4 linked regions of the Caenorhabditis elegans genome follow. The protein of the gene in region 2 interacts with the protein of the main gene of each other region in a pairwise test. Each region holds a gene or a part of one and is shown on either strand. Other genes may lie near its edges.

What was found.
Region 1: the proteins of C40A11.2 (region 2) and F21D5.6 interact in a two-hybrid assay, tested with the Caenorhabditis elegans proteins (one large-scale study listed by BioGRID).
Region 3: the proteins of C40A11.2 (region 2) and C18E9.9 interact in a two-hybrid assay, tested with the Caenorhabditis elegans proteins (one large-scale study listed by BioGRID).
Region 4: the proteins of C40A11.2 (region 2) and col-10 interact in a two-hybrid assay, tested with the Caenorhabditis elegans proteins (one large-scale study listed by BioGRID).

The regions. Positions count from the first base shown.
Region 1 is NC_003282.8:8,736,987-8,744,703, reverse strand, and holds F21D5.6 (Ribonuclease H2 subunit B wHTH domain-containing protein), read left to right. Parts: upstream 1-3,315; 5' UTR 3,316-3,322; coding exon 3,323-3,458; intron 3,459-3,504; coding exon 3,505-3,596; intron 3,597-3,673; coding exon 3,674-3,917; intron 3,918-3,964; coding exon 3,965-4,087; intron 4,088-4,138; coding exon 4,139-4,416; 3' UTR 4,417-4,564; downstream 4,565-7,717. Other genes in the region: F20C5.7 (uncharacterized protein), read left to right, coding at 1-17, 81-293; F21D5.7 (Signal recognition particle 54 kDa protein), read left to right, coding at 1,006-1,175, 1,223-1,412, 1,513-1,692, 1,737-1,981, 2,040-2,227, 2,275-2,348, 2,397-2,675, 2,751-2,915; mrps-33 (Small ribosomal subunit protein mS33), read left to right, coding at 4,678-4,821, 4,873-5,109; F21D5.4 (HTH CENPB-type domain-containing protein), read right to left, coding at 5,744-6,151, 6,196-6,381, 6,430-6,615; F21D5.5 (uncharacterized protein), read left to right, coding at 5,330-5,378, 5,426-5,478, 5,528-5,600.
Region 2 is NC_003280.10:2,142,636-2,150,568, forward strand, and holds C40A11.2 (BTB domain-containing protein), read left to right. Parts: upstream 1-4,314; 5' UTR 4,315-4,327; coding exon 4,328-4,447; intron 4,448-4,664; coding exon 4,665-4,913; intron 4,914-5,677; coding exon 5,678-5,789; intron 5,790-5,868; coding exon 5,869-6,029; 3' UTR 6,030-6,157; downstream 6,158-7,933. Other genes in the region: C40A11.3 (BTB domain-containing protein), read left to right, coding at 121-251; C40A11.6 (BTB domain-containing protein), read right to left, coding at 1,827-1,999, 2,262-2,376, 2,423-2,671, 2,828-2,947; C40A11.7 (BTB domain-containing protein), read right to left, coding at 6,171-6,349, 6,864-6,978, 7,152-7,400, 7,556-7,675; C40A11.8 (G protein-coupled receptor), read right to left, coding at 7,917-7,933.
Region 3 is NC_003280.10:8,985,630-8,993,259, reverse strand, and holds C18E9.9 (MARVEL domain-containing protein), read left to right. Parts: upstream 1-3,715; 5' UTR 3,716-3,721; coding exon 3,722-3,940; intron 3,941-4,440; coding exon 4,441-4,545; intron 4,546-4,597; coding exon 4,598-4,753; 3' UTR 4,754-4,901; downstream 4,902-7,630. Other genes in the region: ooc-5 (Torsin-like protein), read right to left, coding at 1-87; C18E9.8 (DUF7754 domain-containing protein), read left to right, coding at 5,239-5,712, 5,771-6,103, 6,149-6,403, 6,449-6,864, 6,912-7,046, 7,093-7,240.
Region 4 is NC_003283.11:9,161,345-9,168,584, reverse strand, and holds col-10 (Cuticle collagen 10), read left to right. Parts: upstream 1-3,277; 5' UTR 3,278-3,294; coding exon 3,295-3,405; intron 3,406-3,455; coding exon 3,456-4,229; 3' UTR 4,230-4,293; downstream 4,294-7,240. Other genes in the region: putative aldehyde oxidase gad-3, read left to right, coding at 1-141; B0222.11 (uncharacterized protein), read left to right, coding at 544-687, 992-1,135, 1,241-1,315, 1,369-1,519, 1,583-1,738, 2,203-2,370, 2,422-2,654; col-145 (Putative cuticle collagen 145), read left to right, coding at 5,596-5,706, 5,761-6,534.

The sequences.
Region 1 (7,717 bases), on a different chromosome or scaffold from region 2:
CGTATGCAGAAATGCTTGTGAGTTAGAGTTTCTAGACATACAAAATTAGCTTAAAACGTTTTTATTTTTTAACATTTAAGCGGCCTGACAGAATAGACAACGACGGATTATTAGCTGATTCTCTTTCTTCCTACGAGAAAATCAGCAGTTTTTATAAATCATTCATTTACTCAAGAGCTGATGTCTTGGATTTGTTCACTAAAGTTTATTATTACGACTATATGGTATTGCAAATACCTCTACCACAGTTGAAGGATGCGGAAGTTCGAGATTATAGAGAAGGATGGCATTGAATAAATCTATGGAACATTTTTCATTATTAAATTATCAAAATTTTCAAAAAATGAATTTCCTTTTTTTTGGAACGTGCAAAAATCCATTAATTGCCTTGAATCTAATCAATGTTTTACAAAACGCATGTTTTTGAGCAAAATAATATTTTTCAAAGCTTTCAAATCATGAGAATTCAATTAAAAAAGGATAAACAAACAGGAAAAAAGTTGAAAATAAAAAATTTCCCGCATGCACCAGAAACGCGTCAATAAAATCGTCAAACGCGCAAGCGTTACTCTTCAAGGCGCAACAACGGGGTTCCACTCGTCAATTTTTGTGTTGAAATTTGAATTTTTCACGTGATTTTAACTGTCTGAAATTGTTATCTATAAATATATATTTTCCATTTATTATTGTTTTGAAAAAAGAATAAAGAAACATTACCTTTTTAAACTTCCAATACCTTGCCTTTCTCGGCTCTTCGAGAAGAAATCTACAGTTTTCCATTTCTTCTCTACTCTTTGTGAAAAATCTGTTGTGTCTTGAAAAAACCTATTGTGAAATACCACTATGTCGTCAAAAAATGATTAGGAAGCCGAAGAAAACCACAGGGACTGAATCTCCTACAAGAATTATCGATTTTTCTCCAAACTGTTTTTATGGTGCTCTCGATTTAAAACGCGTTTAATTCTATGCTTAAACAAATTAAAGCATTTCAAATTTCAGTTCAAAATGGTTTTGGCCGATTTGGGGCGGAAAATCCGAAATGCGATCGGAAAGCTCGGTCAGAGCACCGTTATCAATGAGGGGGAGCTGGATTTGATGCTGAAAGAAGTCTGTACAGCTCTTATTGAATCTGATGTTCATATTCGTCTTGTAAAGCAACTTAAGGACAACGTGAAGTAAATTTTTACGCTATTTAAGATTTAAATTTAATAAATATTTTCAGAAAAGCGATTAATTTCGAAGAGATCGTCGGAGGAGCAAACAAACGTCGGTACATTCAGAAGACAGTATTCAATGAACTGCTGAAGCTTGTGGATCCTGGTGTAACTCCTTTCACACCAACAAAAGGACGTCGCAACGTTTTCATGTTTGTTGGTCTTCAAGGTTCCGGTAAAACTACGACTTGTACCAAGGTTCGTTCCATGAATTACAATAGAAAGCTCACACACCATCAAACATTATATTTTTTAATTAGTAAACTTCCAACAACTTTTCAACACTTTTCAAGTTCAGATGGCGTATTACTACCAAAGAAAAGGATGGAAAACATGTCTGATCTGTGCCGATACATTCCGTGCTGGAGCTTTTGATCAATTAAAGCAAAATGCCACAAAAGCTCGTATTCCCTTCTATGGATCATACTCTGAAATTGACCCCGTAAAAATTGCCGCCGAAGGAGTAGAAAAATTCACGGTAATTTATCACAGAAAAATGGTTTAATAATATTTGTTTTGCAGCAAGAAGGGTTCGAAATCATCATTGTTGATACATCAGGTCGTCACAAGCAAGAAGCTTCACTTTTCGAAGAAATGCTCCAAGTTTCCAACGCAGTTACACCAGATAATGTTGTTTTTGTGATGGATGCTTCTATTGGACAAGCTTGTGAAGCCCAAGCACGTGCTTTCTCTCAAACTGTTGATGTTGCCAGTGTTATCATTACAAAGTTGGATTCTCATGCTAAAGGAGGAGGAGCTCTTTCTGCGTGAGTTTTTACTTCGAGATCCTTTATCGTTTTGAAATTGCTCAAATACTTTTTTCAGTGTCGCTGTCACCAAATCCCCAGTAATCTTCATCGGAACAGGAGAACATATTGATGACTTTGAGATTTTCAAGCCAAAATCATTTGTTCAAAAGCTTCTAGGAATGGGAGATATTGCTGGCCTTGTTGATATGGTCAATGATATTGGAATTCAGGATAATAAAGAATTGGTGGGAAGACTGAAACAAGGTAAATTTGATTTCAAAAATTTCAAAAACTGAAAAGAACATTTCCAGGACAATTCACTCTTCGCGACATGTATGAGCAATTCCAAAACATTATGAAAATGGGACCTTTCAGTCAAATTATGGTTCGTTTCAATGTTTTATAACGATACCTGAATACTTATTTATTTCAGGGTATGATTCCTGGTTTTGGATCAGAATTTATGACAAAGGGAAACGAGCAAGAATCCGTCAACAGGCTGAAGAGAATGATGACTGTGATGGATTCTATGAGTGATAAGGAATTGGATCATCCAAAAGCATCTGAGCTCTTTACAAAAGAACCAAATAGAGTTGCCAGAGTTGCCAGAGGATCGGGATCTCATCAACAAGAAGTTCGAGATCTTCTCGCTCAGTACAAGAAATTCTCTGATGTTGTTAAGAAGATTGGATCAATTAAAGGACTCTTCAATGTAAAGTTTTGTTCCTATTCGACAAATTGAAATTTTGTAATTTCAATAATTATTTCTAATGAATTCATTTTGCAGGGCAAAAACGGTGATATAAACCCAAAAAATATGAATCCAGCGAAAATGGCTCAATTGAATCAACAAATGGCAAAAATGATGGATCCACGTGTGTTGCAGCAGATGGGTGGTATGGGAGGCCTTCAAAATATGATGCAGCAGATGGCAAGAGCTGGAAAAATGTGAAGAAATGGATGCAATTATTTTCTGTAGTTTTTGAAATGCCTGTTCCCAGTTCCCACAATTCATTCTGACTAAAACGTTTTTTAATAATATCAATATGATTTCTCGATTTCCCTTTCATCAGAATGTTTCCCAAGTTCATTTTTTGTCTAGCAGATTCTGTGATTCTAATTAGAAACAATTTAGTTAAAGAATAATTTATTTATTTCTTTTTTCCCTTTTGAATTTTCCTGAATTAAACTCGTTTTTTCCCTTGGCTCATCGGTGTAAATATTCACATTTAAAAATGACTGAAAAACATATGCCTGTTTATTTTCTATCTCATTGTTCTCGTTTTTTGACGAATTTCGAACTATTTTCCATAAGTTTAGATCAATTACAAATTGTAATAAATCAGTTTCAGAACAAGAATGCCACCAAAAACTAGAAAAACAAAAAAAGAAGACGTCGAGGAAGAGGCTGTTGAAGAGATTTTAGAAGAAACTAAACCTGCAAAATTACCAGAATCCGATGAGAGTTATTCGAGAAAAGTTGTCATTTCCAAAGGTGATTTCCTTTATTTAATTTCAAAAATGAATGTTTTTGTTTTCAGAGGGCAATTTGCCAAATAGCCGAATCATCAAACTGCGGCACCCGAAGGAAGGACTAGCGCTGTTCAGAATCTCCGAAACGTGCTTTGATGAGGTAAAAATATTGGTCAAGCTTTCACAAAAAACCTGAATAAACTTTTAAATGAGAATAAACTTACAAAATTTATGCAGATTTTCGCTGTCAACGACGGTCATCGATCATTCTTCTACGGTGAGAGTGTAATCGAAAACGGAACAATTCACATATTCACTCCATACAATCTCGTCTTCATTTGTCTCCCATATCTACAAAAGACCGCAGGAAAATTTGTGGAAATTGGCGAAATATTGGTAGATGATCAAGTTGACGGGATCAAAGAATTGGCTGAAAATGAAAGAATTCTGAAAGCATTGGAAGCTGTTTCAGATGTCAAAGGTTTGGAAATATCAGTTCGTGGAGATGGAAAAATAAAAGATTTCCAGATGTTCTCGATGTCAAACTATATCGTTTGAACGATCAAAAAATGTTGGATTGGATGAGAAGGAAGTTTGATTCTCTCAAAAAACTTCTAGAAAGTGATGCCCACAAGTCTTTGTTGTCATGTCGTAAGTTTCTCGTTTTGCTTCTTAATTTTACCAAAATGAAATAAATTTCAGCGGAAGCATTCGATCGTTATGTTTTCACATTCCTGTCTGAATATCTTTCTTCTGATCTTGCATTGATTGTTAAAGATCATTTGAATATTCAAGATGCTACTGTCTCCGAGAACATCGATATGAGTATGAAACGAAAAGCTGTGGATGACGATGAGCTTGAAGATAAGAAGCAACCTGTCGCAAAGAAACCAAAAGAATCAGTACAATCAAAGAAACTTCAAGCCGCCTCGAAGGGAACCAAATCAATCAGCTCATTTTTTGGAAAAAAATCTGCTTGAATCTCTATTTTCTTTATTCAACAATTTCGCATATAATTTCATAACATTGACCTCAATTTATCTATGATTCCGATGCTATTACTTTGCTCAATCTCAATTTTGCATTTCACACATTTTTTAATTCGTGTACTAAATAACTGAAACTTTGAAACGTTTTCGATTGAGAATACTCCTTCCGAAATGGGTCCTTTGCCTATTTATATCTATATTTAACAGTTTCATCCGATTTTAACGGATCAACAATAAAAAAAATATTTTAAGATGGCGGCACGTCTGGCTGCATCACGAATTGTGCACGCCGGCCGCGGAATCTCTCAACCTACACCATTCGGAAAACGAATGGATCGATTGTCAAATCGAGTATGGGGAGAGGTTGTCATGCCAACTGACACTAAAAGTTTAAAGGTTTTTAGATGATTTTTATAAAGAAAAGTTTCTGAAAATTTTCATTTACAGGTTGTCCGAGTAATGTCTGCAGAACCATATGAAACCAAAGAACAATTATCACCGAAATACTATCCAAATCTTCCGATGTTTCATTATTTGACCAAAATGCTACGATTCCATGGACTATTTTTTGATGATCACGTAGTTTTCAGAGATGTTCAAGATAATTTGAAAATTATTCGCGGAAAAGTTGTTCGGCCACCAATCGGTCAAGGAAAGCGTGCACAATTGAGAGGAAAGAAGTAGTGTGGATGTTCTCGAAGTTTAAATCTAGATTAGAAGTTTTGTTGATTTTTTTTTTACGTTTGTTTTAATTGAAAATAAATTCTTTTTGAGGTTTTGCTACATTTTTCCAATAAAATTAAAGTTTTTAACACAGAAAATATCGATTATTGATTTTCTTTTTAATTGCTCCACAAATAATTGGCAGACGTTGCTTTTTTCAGCAGTTTTCAGACTTAGAATTATGAAAAGAGCAATGGATGGAGCAAAAAACGAAGCGAAAAAATCTAAAGGTTTCGATTTTGCAATTTATCTGAAAAAGTTCATCTCCGGTTTACAGATACTGATTTATTTGGACGACCACTGAAAAAGACTGGATCCTGGGAATCAAAGGTTTCAAAAATAAACTTCATTAAAAAAAACTAAAGTCTGATTTTTCCAGGACAACGGCGATTTGATGATTTTCACCCATTCAGAATGTGAAGGAAAAGAGAAAATTGCCGCATTCGATATGGGTAAGAATTGGTCACATTATTTTATTGGCGAGATTTAACTTTCCATGAGTATTCCAAATTTTGATTATGAATATCAGATATGAATTGTTTCAATGGAAAATAACATGCTATAGTTTTAGAAAAATATGAACGATAACAAAAAATTAATAAGATTTCGGAGAACGGTTCACAGATGTTTCGGTTTCTTCTACACTGTCTTCCTTCCCATTAGAATCCTTAATAAGCATCTCCAATTGTTGAAAAATGTTTATTTCTGGCAATTTCGATGATTCATTTGGTTTCTGTTTTACTTCACTCTCTGTGGTTGTACTATTGTTTCCCTCGACTTTTAAACTAGTTTCTCCATTTTCTGCATTAAAATCTTCTAGGAATCCTGAAACATTTCCTTCTGATATATTCTTCCATTCATCACTGTTAATTAGTTCAAAAAGTGATTCTTCAAGCGTTTTGTCTGTTGTGCCATCACTAGTTGATGGCGTTTTTGGGCTTGAACTTCTTGCTTTTATCAATCCGTGTCGAATCATAAATCTTTGAAGCCAACCATTACTTGCCTAGAAAATATTTTATTCGAAATTCGAGTTTAAATGTTTCAAACCTTAAAGTCTGCATTTCCATTAATTTTCTTCGCATATTCCTTGATATCTTTTCCCGAAATTTTCCCGTTTTTCGAAGCAATCCAATCTTCAACTTTCTCATCTAATTCCACATTCTTTAGCGGTCTTCCTGCTCCACCGAGCCTCTTTGCTCCTTGTTTTCCTTCTGATTCGAATGCTAATTCGTGCTGAAATTCCAGAAATTTGTTGATAGAACTACTGTAGTTCAGAAATACCTTCAAATGTCTCCATCGTTGAATACAAGCTCTTGCAACTCCATATTTCTTCTGAGCTTGACAATTATTTGTTTGTTCAGCAAATCGAATAACTTCATTTTTGAATTCGAGTGTAAAATTGGCACGCTTCTTTTTTGGTGGTGGCTCGGATGAAGTTTCAAGTATTTTAGGAGAGATTTCAGTCATTTCTGAAGTTTAAAGCTGAGAATTCTACATTTCGGTTAGAATAGTATTACTCAGATTCGAAATTTTGCGATTTCCTACGCAAAAATGCGATACTAGGTCTTGGCACGACCGAATATCCTTTAAAAAGTACAGTAATCTCCCTGCCTCATTGGTTTGATTTTCCGATTTTCACATTTTTCCCAAAAAAAAATTGTTTTTTGTGAGACAAATCAAAAAATACTAAAATTTTATGCAAAATTCAGGAAAAAAGTCGAAGATGAATAAGTCAGAACAGTGACTCGTAGAGGTTACTGTACTTTTTAAAGGTGCACTTTTTTTCATATAAACTTATTCCGCAGTGTCAAGACCGAGTATCGTATTTTTGCGTTGAAAATCACAAAATTTCGCATCTGTGTAATATTTACATTTGCATCTTTAGAAAAGATAAAATAAATAAATAGAAAAAAATCAATGAATTCTAACGTCAAGAAGAAGGGAGTGCCGTTTTAATAGAGGGTGTCCACACTTCAAGAGACAACAGACAAACATTCAGAGTGTGTATGAAGATGAAGAGACACAGACAAACATACTATGCCTGTCTAATGGAGGGAGGCTGTGACCTACAATTAGAGAACACAGACGACTAGAAATACTGAGTGGTGTATGGATATATTTTTTGATTTTCTTGTTGTTGATGAGTGGGAAAACTCACGTCTTCTATCAAAAGAAAACACATATTTTTGGCGCAGAATTGATAATTTTCACGAAATATGAAATTAGTATCAAGAAACTTGGCCTTACTGAGACTATTCAAGCAGTGAGCCTCTGGCTCGGTACATTTATCCCTTGAACCTAAAATTGTGATGTAATTTCCATTTGATTTTCTTCAAATTAAGTAGTTTGCACAAATTAATAAAAATGTAATACTAATCAATTTTTTTTTTGGTAAATTGCCAAATTTTTGTGGAAATCCCTAAAATTACTGTAGATTCGAACCCCTACAACTATTTTTTGTCGATCTCCACAACAATAATAGATGAAAACCTGAAAAAGGTTAAATTTATGAGTTGTTCTAAACTTTCTAGTGTATGAAAAAAATATTTTTGTTTAAAAAAATCGTATT
Region 2 (7,933 bases):
AAGTTCGCTACTCCACCTTTAAGACATGGGCTGTCGAATTGCATAAATCTCATATGCAAATCCGATGGGCACCTTCTGACAGATCCATAGTCAGACAGAAATTTGAGTATTTCAATTCAGATCCATATGAAGAATTCACAGGGTTTGTAGATGAGTTTCTTGCTGAAATTGTTGCTGATTCTCGGGATAATGAAGATGATAGTGCGAATAGTGAGGGTGATGCTCACAATCAGGACGCAGCACTTATATAAATGGAGAACGTATGTATATATTTTACTTTCAGTCTCTAATTTCTTTGAATAAACACTATATATGCTCATTGTCTGTCTTTAAACATGGAAGTTTTGTCACTCTAGAAAAATTAATGGTGCTGCTGGGGTTTAATGGTGGAGTTGACAGAAAATAACTGTTAAGATTAGTTTTAAAAACATTATAATTTTCAAATGTTTTTTTTTAATGTTGCAATTAAAGAATTGGGCTAATTTTTTTTTGCACTCCCGCGCCAAGGGGTTACGTCATTTTTTTGTTGATATTTTTGCGTTTTCTTAATTTTTCAATTTTTATAATATTTTTCCAAAAACTTGTTAACCTGGATGAAGTTCGCGAAAATTTCAAAACTAGAGCAATTTAACTTTAATTAGTGTTTTTTTTTCAGAAAATTGCCATAAAAACTGGCAAACGGTGTTTTACATCAAATATTGAAGAAAAATTGAAAAAAAGCAATGATGTTTTGCATGCGGTTCAGTGGTAGTTTAATATTTTAAGCCATTGACTGATCAACGATTTATTGTCTAATACCGAGAGTTCTATTAGGTAAAACAAGAACCAATGGTCGAACTGACGTTTCTTCCACATTTTCCACCTTATGTAGACATCAGATATGACCTTTCCCGCAAAGGTCGCAAAGGTTGTTCCACGGGTTTATCGGAAGTTCATTGTATCCTTTGATCCTGAAGTTCATACGTTCTTGGGCTTCCTTTGTTGTTGTAGAAGTGTGGCCATGGTGTAGATGCTTGCAGGGTGTTCGTGGAGCCGCGTTGCTTGGTGGAGTGTGTTGAGAGTCATAAGCCGTTGATATAGTCGTTTTATATTCTTAACAGAAGTTAGTCGAGAACAGGTTTAGCCTATCCGTATTCGCGTCCAAAAAAGATGACGTGCCATCCTGTATGATACACTGTTATCATTTTTATGAGCCTTTTTTATGATTTTTATTAAAAGTGGCAATTACTCAGTTTTTGCCAATCATAATTTTGGAAGTCGACCAAAAAAAAATTTTTTCGATAGTTTTTATGTTTCAATTTTGTTTAAATTATTTGTATTAAAATATTGTAGGGGTCGAAACATGCGACATTTCTTTAAATTTCCTCAAAAGCTCATATTTTTCAAAATTTTGACAATTTGCCAAAATTTGACCGGAAATTATGAGTGTTTTATTATGATATTTGGTTGTTTTGGATTATTATAAGTGCATTTAGATAAAATCCCCACTGGCGCTACTCCACCTATAAATGTTGAAATTTTCCGACACTTCCAAAAAATTTCCACAGGTTTTTTGAAAGTTCAATAAAAATTGCGAAAATTTTCTTTGTAGTTTTCTGGAACTTTCTGAAGTTTTCTAAACTTTTTAAAAACGTTATAAAAATATCAGGAATTTACTATGATTTAATATGACTCTTTATTTGACGGAGCTCTGTGTTGAGAGCCTACTAAATTAAATTAAATTAGAATGAAGAATACATTTTAAAAATGAATTTTTTGAAAAATGTGGGAATACATTAGTAAACACAGAGATAAATTTGAATGTGTGGATTAAGACTTTTCGATATTCATTCATCGTTCAATACATCACCGATTTTTTTCTGTAGGGAAGGCAAGTCTTTAAAAAAATCGCAACATGGATGCGTAATATTGTAAATTCGAAAGCTCCAAAGTGGTTCAGGGGTGAGTATCAATTTGTTTGTCAAATCTATAGGCCATGGTTCTCGTTTGTTCATTGGCTCTGTAATCATCATTATTTATATATTTTTTTAAAAACATGGTTCTACTGTTGAAGTTTGTAGTCTGTGACGTCAGACTACAAACAACAATTGTCAAAGTTTTGGCGTGAAAATCAAATATTTTGAGAATACAATTAGGCGGAAAGCTTGATTGTTTTGAAATACACCATCAAAGACTCAATTAAACGTAAATTTAAAAACAAAGTATTTAGAAAAAAGTTCCGTGACAATAACAAGCGCGGCCGTTATAAAATATAAACTCACGGAAATAAATTTCCAGATATTCACGGTTTTTCTCTATAAATTCAGAAAATTGGAATTCTTTTGGGACGAAAATGATATCGTTATTGTGAATTAAGTAGTTGATCACAACAACTGGCTGAAAAATATTACTATCGGAAGAGATGGAAACAAAAAACACGTACCTTATTGGTGCTGGCGATGATTTGCAGCAATTCATGAGACGAGCCATAAGTTCTGATTTTGTTTTTTATAGGTTCACACAAGTCTACCAAATGCTCCAACAAGTAGAATTCGGCTTCTTTTTTCAGTTCTTGTAGTTCTTTTTCAGAGTCTGGAAGTACTGTAACACCGGATCTCATGTAGTTTAGCACAGTTTCAAAGTACTTTGGAGAGCGATCAATGAAATAACAATCGGAAGTGTCCTTTTTAACCTGAATTTGAAAAATTAAACGCAAATGTATTGGGAACGATCACAAATGCTCACGTTCGATCCTGTCCTGTTATTTTCTGTTTTACAGGTTTTTCTACTGTATCCCTGATTTTCGTCTTGTTTCGTTGTCGTTGATTTAAAAAAAATTTAAACTAACCGGAACATTAGTCTCAATTAATGTTTTGAAGAATCCATCCTGCTTGGTCAGTGTCGATTTCCACGTCTCGAATACAGATCCGCCGACATTCAACTTGACAATTGTTTCAGAAAAGCACATATTGAGTAACGTGTATTCACAGAGAATAAATTGATGAACAAATGAGTCGAGTGGTCTCGCTTTACATCGATTTTGTGGCCATCTGCTAACCCATTGCTCTCAGCACCACGGGGAGGCTGACCCCAGGGCTCCCACCACGATTGGTATTTGCACAAGCACCGTAATCTTTACATTTTTGAATTACAAGCCACATTTTGAAGCATTCTGGAGATTCAATGAATTTTTTGACAGCGAATAATGAAATGGAAAATTGATCCTTAATTTGGAAATTGTTATTTTCTTTACTTCAATAAAAGTTTAACGTACTCATTTGTCTGATGGATGTCTTAACCTGTCTGCGTCTCAATGGAAGAAAATGGTCCGGGTTTGGGTTCATCTGACCGTTAGTGTGTAAGAGACCCCCTCTGAGCTCATCGATTTTTCCTGACCATCTGCTCACAGTAAGTACGGCGGGAGAGCAACGTTTGGCTAATCTGGTATTGGTGAAAATGTTCTCTAATTTACCTGAACTCTCTCCATTTTCCTATGACATAATAAGTTTTCCTGTAATTTTCTAAAAAATTATCCCAAATTTTCTGGAATTTTTTAAAATTATCTGTTTTTTTTTTTGAAAATTTTGGCAGTTTCTGAACTAGATAATTTGTGATTGCTACTTAAGTCCCTTTGGTTCCAAAATGGCCAAATATCATAAGAAAACGTTTCAAAAAATTTTTGAAAATTTTTTATTTACTGCCAAAAAGTGGCAATTACTCGGTTTTTGCCACTCATAATTTTGGAAATCCACCAAAAAAACAATTTTTTTCTACATTTTTTATGTTTTAATTTTGTTTAAATTATTTGTATCAAAACATTGTAGGGGTCGAAAAATGCGACATTTCTTTAAATTTCCTCAACAGCTCATATTTTTCAAAATTTTGGCAATATTCCAAAACGTTGACCGGAATGGAACTTTCTGAAGGTTTCTAAGCTTTTTAAAAATGTTACAAAATTATCTGAAACTCCCTGATTTTTTTTTTGAAATGTCTCAAATCTTTTAGAACATTCTTAACTTTGTTGAAACATTCTAAATTCTCTAAGAAATGTCTAAAATTTTTCAGAAAACTTCTAGAGTTTTTTGAATCTTTCAGAAGTTTTCCGAAAAGTTTTGATTTTTTTTTTAATTTCTGCAAATTTATAAAATTCCCAGAAAATTGCTAGACTTTCGAAAAAAAATGTTTGAAGTCTTCTGAGTTTTTTTTCGAAATGTTCTGAAACTGTCTGAAAAATTTTTTTTTTTTCTGGAACTTTCCCAACTTTCTCAGATTTTCTGCAACTTTCTACAGCTTCCTACAATTTTCTGCAATTTTCCTCAAATTTCGCTCATTTTCAGCGATTTCCAAAATGGATTCCATAGTTGAGCCCATTAAACTAGATATCGGTGGTACGGTATTCGAGACGTGTAAACTGAAGCTCACTAAATTTGATGGTTTCTTCAAAACTATGCTCACAAGTGATATTCCGGTAACTTTCAATTTTATTTTTTATTTAATTTTCCAACTTTTAAAATTTTCCTAATTTTTCTGAGAGATTCTGGAACTTTCTGGAACTTTCTGGAACTTTCTAGAATGTTCTGAAACATTCTGGAACGTTTTGTAAGTTTCTACAACTTTCGAAATCTTTCTCAAAGCTTCTGGAATTTTCTAGAACTTCCTGCAACTTCAGAGATGTTCCATTCTAGGTCTCAATCGACGAATCCGGGTGCATTTTTGTGGATCGGTCCCCGAAAAATTTCAGCCTGATTCTAAAATATCTGAAAGAAGGTGATGACGTGGAACTTCCAAAGTTTGAACGAGAACTGCAAGAAGTGAGAAGAGAAGCCGAATTTTACCTTTTAGACGGTCTAGTCGACCTATGTGATTCTTTTCTTAAAATTCGGTCATATGAAACTTCGGAGGAGCTTCTTCATATTATTGCAAACTGCAAAAAGGTATAGATGACGTCATTGAGTGGGCAGGGCTTTAGAGGCCACGCCCCTTTTGTAAGCTGGGCCTCCGTAGTTCATGTGACGAAATTAACTTTGGAAAATTTTTTTGTAATTTTCTGAAATTTTTCAGCAATTTCAATAACTTTTATAAATTTTTCTAAAATGGTCTAGAACTTTCTAGAACTTTCCGGAACTTTCTAAATGTTTAAAAAATTTTATAGAATTTTCAGAAAAAATTTCAGAAATGTTCTGGGGCTCATTGAAACTTTCTGACAGTTTTCAGCTGATTTTGTAATTTTTATGAAATGTTCTGGCACTTTCTGAAACTTTCTGAATGTTCATAACTTATTATAGAATTTTCTTTAAAAAATTTTTTAAAATTATTTTTAGGCACGCCCATTTGTGGGCGGAGCTTAATAAGCCACACCCAATTGTTCTCTTCTAGACTTTAAAATGTTTAGCACGAAATTCAAAAATCAAGTTCCTTGAAATATTTTGGAGCACATAAGAGGCGTGGTTTAACAAGCTCCGCCCACTAAAGAGGCGGGACGGGATTGGCTCCGCCCACTAAATGGGCGGGCGGGGTGAGCTCCGCCCACTGAGTGGGCGGGGGTTATAAGATAACGTCAAAATTTGTTCGCAGTTTTGATTCCCAACAAAATTTTTGACCAAGAAAGGGGCAGGGCTTGATAAGCTCCTCCCACAAAATGATCATAGCCGAAAATTTTGGCGCTTCATTCAAATTTTCGAAATATTTTTTTTTTCAGACAGCAATTCTTGTGATCAGCTATACAGTTCACAATGATCACCTCTGGAACTCTCCAGAATCCTTCAATTTTCAATATGTTCTCGAAAATCCAAAGTTGGATGTCTATTTCAGTGAGTTTTTGACCTGATTGGTCGAAAAGTGGGCGTGGCCGGGCGCTGATTGGTCGAATAATTTACAAGTGATTTTCAGAACAATGTGAATGCGAAGATGAATCTGATAAATCTCGGCGTGAAGATGGAGTCAATAAAGGTCACCAATCATGGATTTATCGGCTGTACTCTCCGATTAAAGGATTTAAAACATTTACAAATTTTGATAAATTGGAGAAATATATTAATGGGAGGCTGTGAAAATCGGGAATTTATGAATAAAATGTTGATCACTTCTAGACGCCGCCGTACCTTTTTGAGAAGTTTTCGAGAATTTTCATTATAAAACAAATGTAAAAAATTTGATAAATGCATTTGAAATATTAAATAATATGTGGGTATTCATTCTCCGTTCAAAATACTATCGATTTTCTTCTGTAGATCATCCATAGCTGTTAAATCAACGCAACCTGAATGCGTACTGTTGTAGATGCGATAACTCCAAACTGGTTCAGGGTAATATTTCATTCCGCGATGTCTCCTTAAATCTTTTGGCAGAGGTTCTCGATTATCCATTGGTTCTGCAAAATAATTTTAAGTAATTTGTTACAAATACGCTAAATAAATTAATCAGACATGTTTCAACAAATTGCGATGAAAAAACATTTTTAGGTCAATTTTTTTCCAAAAATTTTTTAATCTAATTTTTATAAAATTTTAAAAAATAAGTCAATTGTGTCATTTTCTATATTAAAATCAAAAATAAAAATTACGGTTGTCACTGTGAATTTCTAAAAATTGAAGTAAACTTTGCGTTTTTCAGTTGAAAACAGTAGTTTTATTTATGCAAACTGTTATATCTCTAAGAAAACATATGGCACTTTTTAAAAAAAATTACCAAAAATATCTCTGTAAATTTAACTTTCAGAAAATATATTTGACATTTTTGTAGCTAATCAGGTTCTAAAGTTATGCTAGTTTTCGCCAAAGAGACACATTTACAGGCCGGTGTAGTATCCTCAAAACTTACAATTTTCGGAATTTTAATGATTTTTTTAAAATTTTCCGAAAACGAAAAAAATCCAAAAAACTCACGAAAATAGATTTCTACCACTGAACTGTTTTTCTTAACAAACTCATCGAATCGAAATCCTTCTGGGATGTATATGATATCGTTATTATGGGTTATGTAGTTAATCACAACTACTGGCTGAAAATGATATCAAAATGATATTAAAATAGCATATATTTATATATATATATATATATATATATATATATATATATATATATATATATATATATATATATATATATATATATAACTGAAACTGAAATATATACATATATATATATACATATGGGAAAATAAATAACACCTACCTTCTTGGTGCTGGCGATGATTTGCAGCAATTCATGAGACGAGCGATAAGTTCGGATTTGATTATTTATAGGTTCACACAAGTCTACCAACTGCTCCAACAAGTAGAATTCGGCTTCTTTTTTCAGTTCTTGTAGTTCTTTTTCAGAGTCTGGAAGTACTGTAACACCGGATCTCATGTAGTTTAGCACAGTTTCAAAGTACTTTGGAGAGCGATCAATGAAATAACAATCGGAAGTGTCCTTTTTAACCTGAATTTGAAAAATTTGACTTTTTTGTTATATCTGGAGAACGGGCCACAAATGATTTCACTAAGAATATATAGGCTTACAAACCGGCCTGGACTGGACTTAGACTTGATTTTTGGACATGATTTCCTAGTTGGCGAAAAAAGAAACAAACTAACCGGAATATTCGTCTCGACTAATGTTTTGAAAAATCCATCCTGCTTGGTCAGTGTCGATTTCCACGTCTCGAATACAGATCCGCCGACATTCAACTTGACAATTGTCTCAGAAGAGCACATATTGAGTAGTCACAAAGAATGAATACCTTGTGTTACAGAAGATTCCTTCTGTTGCTTTTTATCGATTTTTTTGACGACCTGCTCATCGCATTCCTCTGAGCACCTCGGGAAAGGTGACCTCAGTTTTCCCAAAATTGTGTGAAAAATTATTTAATTATTTATTCCGTTACAAGGAAATATGTAGATATAGCTCACAATCAACGAAATATTAAAAAAAAACCTATGAATTTTAAACCACATACTAAAAACTAAAAATCG
Region 3 (7,630 bases), 6.8 Mb from region 2:
TTTAATCTTACCGGTAATCACGCTTATCAATTCCGTGTTGACAAAGCACAAATGGAAAAGAAGGAGAAGAACATAATCAAGTTTCATCCACCTGAAAATTGATATTACGCTCGAGTAAAGGACACGAAAAATAAAAATAGAAGTTTTGTTTAATTCCAGGAATTGAAACTATAGTTTTATACATGAATTTGATAAAATTATAATAAAATTAAGGCAAAAATTTTTTTTTTGCAAACGGGCAAAAATATCCGTGCATTTTTATGTGGCGCTGTTTGCAGATTTGTACACCGTAACCCATAAAAAAAATTTCGGAAAGTGGAATTTGGAAGCCTACAATTGTTAATTGGGTAGAAAAATTGAAAATTATTGAAAGAAGAAAAAAAACAGCGGTACAAATAAAATACAGAAAACTAATAATCAAAGAGAGTTTTTCCTAGTGAACATGCTTATTTTCTTGTCTATAACATTCATTATTACTAATAAACACAAATTGAACACATAATTTCTAGAAAATTGGAAAAGAAACTGAAAGAAACGATTAATAGGAAGAAAACAAGGAAATCGATAAAAATTCGCTTGCAAAACCTCTACAGTAGTTTTAAAGACGCACATGCCAAACGTTTTTAACTTAGTTTGGAGCGCGTGCCGAGACCATTCCGCGTAAATGTGCCCTCCTTTAAGCTTATAGAATGGGTATATAAAAGACACATATATAAAAGACACCAATACTGCTTATTGATTTATTTCCAAGAAAAGCTCTAAAAAAAACATACTTTTCCAATACTTCATCGGTTATTTGGACGTTTTTTAAGATTAATCTGCCCGAAAAATGACGAATTTACTGAAATTTCCAAAAGGTATCGCTGGTCTGTCAAAACTTCAGCGAAAGACTATTAGAACCTGCATACTAATGTTCAAGTGGCCTTAGAGTGTGAAAGACTAATTAAGAAAATACGGTAATAGCTATGTCTGCAGAACGCGCCCAGGAAGGGTACTGGGAATTTCAAATTTTTAAGTCGAACAATATTTTTTCAGAAGTGAGGAGGAGTAAAAATGTTAGAATAAAACTTTTTTTCGGATACCTATCGATATCTAGCTCCTAATAATCTCCCTCTCCATTTTTGTCGTCGACAATCTCCGAAATCATCCAATCGTTCTGTGAAATTGGTATATTCTTGTAATCAGGCAAATTGATTCTTTGTTTGAAAAAAAATTTTGCAGGATCTTTTTTGGAATAGCACATTCCGAAATAATGTGTTTTTCCTCTTTCATATTCTTACAATACATGTTCAATTATTCTCTGAATTCACATCTGGATGAGTCAATTGGAATCCGTCACATTTTTCAGTTCACCACAAAAATGTTGTACTTTTTCTATACTAGATGGTGACAAGAATGATAAACTATTTGCTCTTGTTGCCATAAAATGCGGGGAGGGGCGGTGCTGCTGTTGGCTGATGATGGTTGTGCGTGATCAGTCGATTCTTCCCCGTTATCAAAGTTTTTCAAAATACTTCAACTCTTTTCTCTATTTCTATCTATCGGGTCTCTCTATGTTTAACTATTTCTATTTGATTTTGATTTTCCCCCGACTATTCCAAGTTCACTTTTCACACTTTTCCACGAATCGATTAATATTTGAATTACCTTGGGTATTAGCTTTTCTGTTATATGTATAACTCTATTTAAAAATGCTTTCAAAAATATTTCAACCTTCAGAAAAGTTTTATAAGGTCTTCAATTTCATCAAACAAAAGAAAGTTTGATTAAACTTTCTAATAGCTTGTTTGGAAATCACAAAAAACTAATAAACCATTTAGCAACTTTCCGATTGTTTTCAGTTTTATTTAGTAAAATACAAAAATATATTTATTTGAAAACAAAAATTGAATCAAAGTTGGGCAATTACCAAAAATACAATTGGCAACTTTCATGTATTTTCGAGCATACATACCTACGCAGTTTTAACCTAGAACAAATATATGTTGCAGATTAATAATATATTTTTCTACATCTTGACACTACGTTTTAATTTTTAAAAATGTTGGATCAACATGCCGCAATAGGTTAATTTGTATAATTTGCGCATATCCCTGATGGGGATAACTTTATTTAAATTAGTGTTTTAAACGGGACAGACTTTTGGAAAAAATGAAGTTAGATCTTAAAGTTAAAGTATTTTCAGTAATGATTTATATAAACTCTTACAAAATATTTTGATTTTCAAAATGTTTTTCAAAGTTTTGGCAACCTGCCAAGTTGTTTAAATATGGTACTTTTTTCAAATTTTATGATTACTGTAGGCTAAAACCTAAACAATGTTCTGATCCGAACGATTGAAGCATCTTTAAAATATAAAACTCGTAGGATACTTTTTTGGACGACATACACAGTTTTGATATGTGAAACCTAGATGTTAGCCACTTTTTTCCAGATTAAAAAAAGTCAAATAATTTTTGTCCAATGATAAAATAATCTTACAATTAGCTACGTTTTCATGTAAAAGAAAGTTATTTTTTACAATGAAGTTTTAGTTGCACATATTTCGAACCAATCGTGCATAAATAAATGAAACACATATTCCACGTTTCGATGAATGTGTGTTTGATGGTGGTGATCCATGTTTGAATGGAAATGACTCAATTATTTGTTTGCATTGTGCGGATAAATGATGTGGCACAATCCATTCCTGCACACGGAGCTCTCTAACTTTTAATATTTCACAATTTGAAGGTTATATTGATAGTGAATGTCACTTGACTTTCTTCCTACATTTTAGACAGTTTCACGAGTTTATCAAGTGTTTCATAAGAAAATACATGCAATGACGTAGTTGTTTGTTTGTAAATGTCTAAATAAATTGAAATCAAAGTTACCTAATCAAGTCGTGGTTGGAAACAATAGTTAGTGTTTCACTGTGATCTGTGCTGTTTTTTTAACTAGTAGCAATTGTTTGTGTTTTCTAGGAGTACAATATTCAAATTTGGTCACCAGAAATTTAAAATTTTGAATACTCAGAAATACTCAATATTGGTAAAATCATGGAAATTTATAGAGAAATTGGAAATTTATCGGAGGCTCTCCATAAGTAGAGCACTAACAACTTTTTCGAAAATTGGTCTTGGCTCTAATATTTTTGCTCCCCCCAATTTTGATAAACATTTTTTAACTCACAGAAAAATTCGAAGCATAACGTTCATTCATAATAATAATTCACAATATTCTTTTGTTTTCTAAATGTTGAATTTTATAAGTAGACTCTTAAAACTGGCCGTCCAAAATTAATCGTACACTTTTTCTTAAAGTTTTTTTGAAATAGAATTAAGCTTACAAAACAAACGCCTTGAATTTGTATGTTCTGTTCCTTTTCCTCATTTTCCTTTTCTTTCAAAATTTCCCAACTTTTATTATTTCTTTATTTTTCTTCCTTTATTGTTCTTCACATACATTTTCCTTTTTTCGTCCTTTTTTCCCAATCGATAAAAGGAGTCTTTCTAGAACACAATACTTTATCACAAAATCATGAGAGAGAAGAGTGTTTGCTGAAAAGGTAGTTTATGCTGACTCAGAATGTTTCGGTGACCGGCTGACTCTGAAACCTGTTTCTTGTTTCTGTTTACTCGATTTTACCTCATTTCCATTGGTTCCCTATTGATTTTTGAAACTTTTGATATTTTACTTGTTTTTTTTCAGTAACTCTTTTATGATTTTTCAGAAAACAATGGCTTACAAAGATATGATGGAAATGCCTGGAGTGCTGAAACCAGCACTCCTGCTTCTCACACTTCTTCAAATTATCTTTATGGCTTCACCAGGAGTCCGTGGATGGTTTTGGTTCATTTGCCTCACATCGATTCTGGAATTTCTCGCGGCTATCGCAGTTGTTGCAGTTGTTTTCTTAGATTTAACTTTTACAAGATCGGGACAGTTTGTGATTATTGTGAGTGAGAATTTTAAATCAATAGCGAATGCAGTAACTTCTTGGTAAAATTTTCACTCGTTTTTGGCAGAAATTTTACAACTTATTTGAGAGGTGTTTAATGAGTTGTCGCCGATTGTTTATATTGATAGTCGGGAAATTAAAGAATAAGCTGATTAAATCGATTTGTACTACTATTTGATTTGACTTCAGAATGTGCTCAAAATGTTGCTAAATGTTGCAAAATGTTGCTAAAAGCTGAACTCTCGCTCTCCATAGGCAATATCTATTCACATCAGCTAAGAATATGTATAGGTTCGAATATATTTAGGCTATTAGTAATGTCTCTTAAAATATTTGCAACTATTTTAACATGATAATCAGGACGAGTTCATTCCTGCCTGTCTGATTTCTTGTCTACCGTAATTTTTCTATAATACTGATTCTACTATCAAATGTTTCATTGATGTGAAAAATGTTATAAAAATGCAGGCAAAAAGTTTTAAAATAATTTATTTCAGGAACTCGCATACAGTGGAGCATTCTGTGTATGCAGTGCTCTCAACACTATTTACTATTTTTGCAATATCTTCTATCATTTCAATTTTTGGTTCCTTTTGGCAACTGTTTGTTTTTTAAGATACTAAAACTTAAGAATCAGTATTATTATATTTTCAGATTGTATCGGTACTTCTTGTACTAGCATATGGTCTTCAAGCACTCATGGCTTGGACTTCAATGTCTGCTTCAAGAACTTCTTCTTCACACACTTCAAACCAAGCAACTGCTGGACCACCACCAACAGTCTATCCAGCCGGAGCCAACCCTGCATAAGCTTTGAACAAAAACGAATTTTAACGGTTTATAGCTCTTATTTATTTTTTAACGAGACATCACAAAAACCCCTTCTTTCTCACTCTTTTCTCTTGCTCTCCTACATTTGACATGTTGACATTTTTGAACAAAATAAAGTGTTTCCTTTAACTAGTTAAAATATTTTTGGAAGCTGAGGATAACGGCGAGGCTTAAACAAGAGTGCATCTAGCCCGCATCTGTCCTCGCCCTCATTGCAAAAGCTTCATTTCCCGATTTGCAAGTATGGTAATGTGTAATGACATTTGTTGAGACGCAGTTGAAGTTGAAAATGGCTAAATGAAAAAATAATTGGCGTTTCTTTTCAAAATTAATTTTCAAAAAATGACATCCGTGGCCTTCCATTTTTCAAATACCACGTCACAACAAAACAACCGAATAACCAGAAAACTACAAAATAAATTTATTTCACAAAATTTACAAGACGTAGAAGCGAAATCAAAACAATGTCGCTATCGGAGCTGTCAGTTCTGTCTGCTGAAACTGCAATCAGTTTTCACGAAATGGATTTGGAAATTTTGAAGGAGAGTCAGAAGGCGTTGAGGGAAGAAGCTGGAGGAAAAGAAGAGGTGGAGGAAACAGTGGAGAATCCGAATCCAATTGTGTTCATTGCCGTTGATGATCAGAATCTACCAAATGGAGAGGAAGAGGACTCATTCATCTTCGAAAAACTTCAGTTTCGAGTCAAGCAAGTTATGGAAAACGGTACTCGTCGTGTATATCTTTCTGTGCAAGCAACAACTCCTGCTGAATGGCAACTTCTTGTTCAACTCAGAATCAAAACTGGATGTCAGTCGAATATTTTGAATGTTGTTGATAAGGATGTTTATAAATTTGATTCATTTTCATATCCTCTGAACGTGGAAATTCAGAATAGTGACGTCAAATTTTTGAAATTTGAAATGAGAGTGTTGAATTTGGTGAGTTTTTTTTTTTGAGATTATAATCTATTGATCTGTAAATTATAAACTATTTCAGATGTACCTGGATCTCCCAACTTTTGAGGAAGGTGATGAAGTGATTGAATTCGACGATGGATCTCGTATTCGTGTTCATTCAAACATCCTCTCCCTATTGTCGGATTATTTGGGAAAATCGGAAAAAGAGTACGCATCTCGTACGGATTGCCCAGCTATCAAAGCAACTTGCTCTGAAAAGGAAGCATTCCTCGAACTTCTTTACCAAGCATATCCTACTCGCCGTCCAATTTTCGCATCATTCCGTCGTTTGACAGCTGGAGCCGTTGGTTACAAGTGTGACAATTTGATTTATCAGTTGTCGAAACATCTCATTGACTACAATTACAGACCGGTTTGAAGTTCTTTTATTTGAAATTTTCTAATGAACTATTTTCAGATGACATTCTTGCAACGCTTTCAAGCAGCGATTGAGAATAGATTGGAGCCTGCTATCAGTGAACTTGCATTCCGTGCAGCTTTGGACGGAACATGGAACCAGATGATTCAATCAGGATTTGAACCTGAGAACTTCTGTGGTCGTCAAGTTTACACGAAAATTGTGTGCCCCGCTATCTTGCTGGCAAGAAATGCAAAGCCCGATGCGACAACTTTGAAGAAGCCCGAGAACAATTTGAAATTTATTGAATTGGAGGTAATCCAATGTTGAACAAAGTTTAATATAAAGTAGTTTATTTAGGAGGGTGACACTACCAAGTCTGCAATTCTATTCCGTGGAACCATCTTCTACATCAACAGTGGGATACTTGCCGCTCATGGAAAGGAAATGCTTTGTATTGGTCAAAATGGAGAATACATTGCTCGTTACACTGCAGAATTTCATCGCGAATGTGCTCGTGGAGACTTGATCCCTGGCGAAGTTCTTGTTCAACTTCTCACCTACATGCATCCAATGGGAGAAGTTCCTCATCCGGATATGATTCGTGCTTGCATTGTTTTTGCTTTCGATCATGGATGGAATATTGTCAAGGAAAACTTGGAAAATGAATTTGAGCCACCAATTACACCAGATGAGTACATGTCGCAATTGATGTTTGGAGACAAGTTTGATCTCAAAAACTTGCTCCGTGTCAATATTCAAAGAGCCGAGTCAAGGTTTGTTTCGAGAAAGTTCCAATTAATCACTATGTTTCATATTTCAGTTGTCGTGAACTTGCCGAGGTTTTGGAGAGACATGGAAAACTGAAAATCTTGAAGGATCGTACTCATGAAGGAATCATGGACAGAATGTGCAGTGGATGGGGACTGAATCCAATGGTCAATCGGCTTTCTACTAGGTTTATTAGTTTAAGTTTTCATTCATTCAACAACTTACTTCTACAGATTTCCTACAACTTTCCACCACCGTACTGTCAATTTGCAACGTGGTAAAGCAGTGGTTGTTGGAGAAGGTCGAGCTGTTGACACGTTGAACTCTCTGGCATCGGATCACGCATTTGGAGAACCAACGGAGCTTATTGTCGTCGACTAGTATTTTTCGTAACTTCCTGTATGATTTTTAATGTTTTTTATTTTCTCTATTTGCTCCGGACTTGTGATTTGTAATGCTATGCTTCTCCAACCATTCTCTATAAAGCATTTCTTCGATCATACACCTCCCTTTGTGCACTTTTTGCAGAGAATTACAGAATTAAGCTCCGAACACATGTGTCGTTCGGGTCGATAATCCGAAAATACGCAAAAGCGCCTGAGTTGTGCTCTTTTCTGCTGCTTGCTGCTGCTCGGAAGACAGTCTCAGTAGCCCGGAGGGACTCTCCCGTAGCGGCTCCCGTTGAGGGACATTGCGGCGTGTTGAGCAAATGCAAACAATGACCGGATGGTATGTGCGTGCGTCTCCGCCGATCAGCATGCTTCTCGCCAA
Region 4 (7,240 bases), on a different chromosome or scaffold from region 2:
ATGATGTCATGTGGGGCAGTTCATTCGTCAATAATGAATTGTATTGATAATTGGAGAAATGAAAATGGTATTCATGAATTTGTGGATACAATTTCACCACTCAGTGCTGAAAAAATTCAAGAACTCTGTTCAAAGAAATAATTACATCTAATTAAATTTTATTTGTCTTCTTATAAATAAATTGTTGTATATATCTCAAGCCTTTTGTTGATATTTAATCCACAGACCATGATATTGATCATCTATTAATTCTTCGAACATTTCCATTCAGAACACTTTTGTAACAATTTAAATCGTTTTGAAATGAATTCGATGTGTTTATATTTTAATCAGGAGGCGTTTGGATTTATAAACGAGCGTCCGACAGGATTAGTGTGCCACTTTCTTTTTCAGTCCACACTTGTCCCCTCTCAACACTTTTTTGTTATTCTCTCACTTTATCCTCACCTCTCGCCTAAAGTTCATTTCAAATTTTTGATTCATTTCTTACTGTGTGAAATCAAGAACTAGACGGAGTCGGAGTGGTTGGCTCGAGATGCTTCAATGAGTCGACGGACTGCGTCGAAGTTACTAGTTTTTGTATTTTTATGCTCTTTATGTTTTGGAACTCAACGGTATGATATGCCGAGAAAAATTGACTTGTTTAATGATTTGATTACACAATCGACAACTCCAGCATCTCCAAAGGTGAATAATCAAATATACAACTTTCAAACCAAAGCATTTATAATTTTTGTAGTTTGTTTTAGTTTTTAATTTTCAAGTTTTCTTTTGATAATTGTTATTCTAAAAAATTGAAAGCAATGGGTAGTTTTGTTCAAAGTTCAAATTTATACAACAACGTCTACCTACTAAAAAATGGTATATGCCGAGTTTTAAGTTGATTCGAAAGTTGATCTCGTATAAACTAGCTGATCTGAACTTCCGAACTCAAAGTTTTTGCCGAATTAGCACGAAACACAAGTTCCCAAAATATTTCAAATGTTTTCAGTGCCAATGTCTTCCACCAACAACTCCATCCACCCCTCCAAACTGTATTCCTTACGATTCTCGATTGCAAGCAGCAAGTCTTGAAGAAGCTATTGTGGCATTCCCAGATCTTACCATTACTCGACAAGAGAAGACACAACAATCTGTAATTCTTTTTTTTTCATTATGTTTTCGGATCTCAATTAACTTTCAAATTATGGAAATTTGTTTTAAAGCTTTTTCGGAGTGTAAAGTAACTATAATATTTCAGACTGCAACACTAAACAACTGCAAAACTAAACAATGCCGTGATTGCTATAAAGATCTCAGAAGCCAGTTGCGAAAAGTAGGAAGCCTCTTGCAGAATCGCTTCTAGAAATGTTCACTTCCAATTTTCAGGTCGGTCTTCTTCCAGGAACCATTGACCAGGTGTTTCACAATCAGCGGAACTTCACAACTTGTCAAAAATATAGATTTGCAAGACAGGATAAAGGAGTCTATGAGAAGAAAAAGAAAGCCAAACAACATTATGATTGGGATTATGTAGAATGTAAGAGAACATTCAGTGTTCTTTTTTTGGAAAAACTCTCAAGTACAAATTGAAAGGTTTCAGATGATGAAGATGAAGATGATGATTACTTTTGGGATGGATTATTTTGGAAGAAGAAGAGAAATGTATTAAAGAAAATTGTAAAACGAGACGTTGAAGCTACTACTGCAATTTCACAACCACCTAACAGTACAGCAATGAACTCAACCGGAATTATAGGTTTGTATTGAAGACATAATTTTTTTTCTAAAAACTTCTTATTGGTATATATTTTTCAACACTCTGAAAATAAGATATATTCAAAACAATAATTTTAAGTGACCGTCATAAATAATTATGAAAAGAAAACAACCATTCAAAGGTTTTTTTAAAAATTTTTACTCAAAATGCGTGTATTGTTCTCCCTCAAAAAATTATTTCCGGGTCGTGAATTCCCTTACGAGAATTTCAATTCCCCTCGGGTGGTCATCATCTCAAATTCCAATCTTCTTTTTCATTTTCAATCTCTAACAATTTCAAATTACTAGAACCCACAAACCAATGTTCGATAACGGCATGCAACCTTGAGAGAGTCTCCGATTTGATGTGTAACCTTCATTAAACCCTGTAATACAAGTCATGTCGACAAACCAGATCTTCATCCCTTCAACATTTGGCAGAAAAGTGCAATTCGTCTTTTACAGGAATTCGATTTCCGATCTCTTGCACAACTCGAGGCGTCACTCCAGATGGATTAGGAACTGTTTCCCTTTGTAGTACATGTTGGGTGTGGCGACGTCTTCCGAGTACCTACTATCCTGCATATCTTAACGAAGTCGTGTGCGATTATGCGGACACATCGTGTCTGAGTGGTAGTGAAAAGACAGAGAAAGTGGGGGAAAAAGAAAATACCATTTTTTCAGGATACGCGTCATGCCAAACTGGAACCCAACAGTTGAATGTGCTACGAAATGACAGCGGGAAATTGATTCCAATATCGGTATCAGCTGGAATCAATTGTGAATGTAGATTAGCAGTTGGATCAACACTTGAATCACTCGTACTTGGACAAGGAATTTCCAAAGCAATGCCGCCAATTGACACAACTAGTACAAAACCACCAAATTTGGCAACAAGCACAACAAGCCATTCCTAATTTATTTGGGTATTTTACTCTTGATAATTGTATTAATGATCATTTAATGTTGTTGAATATCACACATTTAACATATTCAATCGAAGAAATATAACGACGTTCCACAACATCCAGTATACGTCTTCCTCTGTATTGAGTTTTATTCTTTGACATTGTGTCATGTTTCAGAACATAGAAATATACCAAAGTGTTGAGAAGCATTGTATAATTCAATTGAATCTTTTTCAGTTTACCTCTTCTCCTTTTTCACCGTTTCCGTCATCAAAACGCCGTTATTCAAGGTGAGATTATGGCGATAAATGAATGCCATTCACAAAATTGCAAGACACTATTAAAGAAGAAGAGGTTTAGAGATTTGTACCGATCATAGCTTCTTCTGAGAAAGCGACCTTGGCGGCCGTACTTGAAGAGAAGCAATTTTTATCGCCGTAGAAGATGTTGCCTGCCACCCACCCTGTACGTTGTTTTTTTGCTTATCAACATCTGAATTTTGTTGTCTTTTGCACCGCCTACTTTTACTATGGAATTTGAGGAAATATAATATGAATTGAAGAGAATACGCTACCTGTCAAAGAAACGTCACGGTTAGGGTAGTATAAAAGGGAAGGGTAACACTGAATAAGGTACCTGGCTTTCAGTCATGGAGAAATTTCTTGTAACCCTCTCTACCGGAGCTGCCTCCATCGCCGTTCTCGCCGTTCTTTTCACAGTTCCATCCCTCTACAACACCATCAACGAGGTTCACGATGAGGTAATAACTATTCATTATTTATTGCATTTTTTAATCTAAAATATTTATAGGTTCTCGATGGAGTCTCTGTCTTCCGTGTTGAGACCGACTCTGCATGGACCGAGATGATGGACATCCAGATCACCGTTACCCCACCAACCAAGCCACGTGTCAACCCATTCAACTCTATCTTCCGTCAAAAGCGTCAAACATTCTCTGGACTCCCAGCTTGGTGCCAATGCGAGCCAACTAAGCCAACTTGCCCACCAGGACCACCAGGACCACCAGGACAGCCAGGAGCCCCAGGAACCCCAGGAGCCCCAGGACCAAAGGGAGACGACAACACCGCTACCTTCGCTCCACTCACCTGCGCCCCAGTCTCCCAAGACTGCGTCAAGTGCCCAGAAGGACCAGCTGGACCAGCCGGACCAGAAGGACCAGCCGGACCAGCCGGACCAGACGGACAACCAGGAGCACCAGGAAACGCTGGAAACCCAGGATCCGACGGACAACCAGGAGCCCCAGGAGACAACGGACAAGACGGAGCCCCAGGACAAGACGGACAACCAGGAGCCCCAGGACAAGACGGACAACGTGGATCCGGAGCCCCAGGAGGACCAGGAGCCCCAGGAAACGCTGGACCAGCTGGACCAGCCGGACAAGACGGAGCCCCAGGACAAGACGGACAACCAGGACCAGCCGGACCAGCTGGACAAGATGGAGCCCCAGGAAACGCTGGATCCGATGGACAACCAGGAGCCCCAGGAGGACCAGGACTTCCAGGAAACGATGCCGCTTATTGCGCTTGCCCACCAAGATCCGCTGTCTTCGTCTCCCGCCATTAGATTGGTTCAAGACAAGCATCGTCTCTTTTCTTTTTATCAAAATAAAATCATTTTCATTCAAATTTTACTTTTAATAATACATCAAACTACAAGTTAATGTTTGCCGAACACACGAGAGACATTCTTATTTCAATAGTCATTTCGAAAAATTTCACTTTGTCTTTTTGGTCTGCCATGAAGATAAGTGTAATTCCACCTGACAAGAGTGCGAGGAAAGAGGCTGAAAGGTTTCATTGTTTAGTAGACGACAAAAATGTTGGTTGTAATAAACATAAAGTAAATGAAGTGTGTTTTTGTTAAGAATGGCTTAGAAAAAAGTGTAACTTAAATATCATTATGCAGTCTGTGACTAAAGGTCACTAATTTTTTCACAAGATGAAATGGGATAAAAGTTTCGCCAAGTTCGGACGAGTTTAGAGTCGAAAATTTGAATACCGCTTTGAGAAATTATCAATTTTTCTACGATTTAACTAGGAAAGACATCAAGGCTTTCAGTCATGGAGATTGCGAATAGTAGGAACACTAGTTTATAGGTACCTATCAAGTAATAAGAGCATACACATGTACAAGGGTTTTGCTGGTTTTTGCACCCATCGGCTGACAAAATACCTCAATCAGCGAAACAATATTCGGTAATATACCAAGATATGCAATACGAATAGTGACTAGTGAATAATTAATTTACACTAGTTTTCGCGAGTCGTAACATTGTCAAGTTGACAAAATTTGAGTTTTTACCCGGAAATGGATTATTTTTTCAATCTTCAAACTGTCATAACTTTTTTTGTGAAACTTTCTAGACATCTCATTTTAAAATGAAGTGCTTTCGAGGGAGATTTCGGAGTCTAATAAAGCAATGACTTACATTTTGTAAGGCCAGATATAAAATGTTCATCAATGTTTTGTTTTACATATTCATCAACAACCATTCTAAAAATTCAGTCAGGCGCACCCCGTGAGCGATCCAAGAGGTTTAATTGTAAATGTTATCATCCAGTCAAGGAATTTTAAGGTAACGCAAAATATTTCTAAATAACATCCCATCTGACACATTCAGATCGCAACATATCATGCAATCGCCTCGAGAGAAAGTTGTCCGTCCTTCTTCCTCTATCACCTACTGAGAGAAAAGCATTTCATCTTTGTCCGCTTTTTCTCTACGGCCTGCCCACTTTACTATCTTCCTCGTTTGTGGCTTCTGAATGAGGAAGTTGAGGCAAGAAAGACAAGAAAAAAAGCGAGTTCATGGAGACAAATGGAATATTTCATTACACATCTCTATGCAAAAAAAAACTGTATGAGTAATTCAAAAAGAGGAGTATAAAAGGAGGCAAGATAACTAGGAAAGACACCAAGGCTTTCAGTCATGGAGAAGATTCTTGTAACCTTTTCTACCGGAGCTGCCTCCATTGCTGTTCTTGCTGTTCTTTTCACCGTCCCATCCCTCTACAACACCATCAATGAAGTTCACGATCAGGTTTATATATATATACTTTTACAAAATAGTTAAAACAAAATTTCAATTTTATAGGTACTCGATGGAGTCTCTGTTTTCCGTGTTGAGACCGACTCTGCATGGACCGAGATGATGGACATCCAGATCACCGTTACCCCACCAACCAAGCCACGTGTCAACCCATTCAACTCCGTCTTCCGTCAAAAGCGTCAAACTTTCTCTGGACTTCCAGCCTGGTGCCAATGTGAGCCAACTAAGCCAACTTGCCCACCAGGACCACCAGGACCACCAGGACAGCCAGGAGCCCCAGGAACCCCAGGAGCCCCAGGACCAAAGGGAGACGACAACACCGCTACCTTCGCTCCACTGACCTGCGCCCCAGTCTCCCAAGATTGCGTCAAGTGCCCACAAGGACCAGCAGGACCAGCCGGACCATCAGGACCAGCCGGACCAGCCGGACCAGACGGACAACCAGGATTCCCAGGACAACGCGGTAACGACGGATTCCCAGGAGCCCCAGGAGCCCCAGGAGACAACGGACAACCAGGAACACCAGGACAAGACGGATTCCCAGGACAGCCAGGAGCCGACGGACAACGCGGATCTGGAGCTCCAGGAGCCCCAGGAGCCCCAGGAAACGCTGGACCAGCTGGACCAGCAGGACAAGATGGATTCCCAGGACAAGACGGAGCCCCAGGACCAGCCGGACCAGCTGGGCAAGACGGATTCCCAGGAAATGCTGGATCCGATGGACAGCCAGGAGCCCCAGGAGGACCAGGACTTCCAGGAAACGACGCCGCTTATTGCGCTTGCCCACCAAGATCCGCTGTTTTCCTTTCCCGCCATTAAATTTACTTTCATTGTATTCTCAATACTTTCCATGTCATAAAATAAAATTTTTACTTTGTCTTTCATATTTTTAACAGCCTTGTTTACCGATTGAAATCAGCTGAAAACATAAGGAGAAGTCAACAGTAGCACCCGATTGAAGCAATGTAGTGTAAAATCATGTAGTTACTCAACATTTATTGTTTGATTCAACCTTTTCTTCTGTTGTCCAATATAACCAAAAACAACAACAAAAACATTTTTGAGATACAAAATCATTGCTACATCATTAATCAATCTTCATAAAGTCTGATTTTTCGCTTCGAAAAAGAAGCGTTCAAATTAGAGTCAGCCGACCAACAATCTGATCCTGTTTCGAACACCGCAGGTGTCAGATGGATAAGTGACAATGTTGCGGAAGAAAGAGAGATGATGGGAAAAGTTTTGAAAAAAAAACTGGCTTTCCTTTTTTTAGGGATCCTTTGATGGAACCCAGAACTGTGGGAAACATTTAATCCAAATATTTTGGCTAAATAGTTTCATGTATAGGAAAGAACAACAAACATGTTTTAATTAAACATAAAACGCAATTTGAATTTGTTACATTATTGTATTCGAAGATACATTTAAAAAAATTAAACTTTAAATTTTAAAATTTCATCATTCAGATAAATCTGGCACATAAAATGAATACATGAACAGTTTTTTAAACATTGCTCTTGGGTGT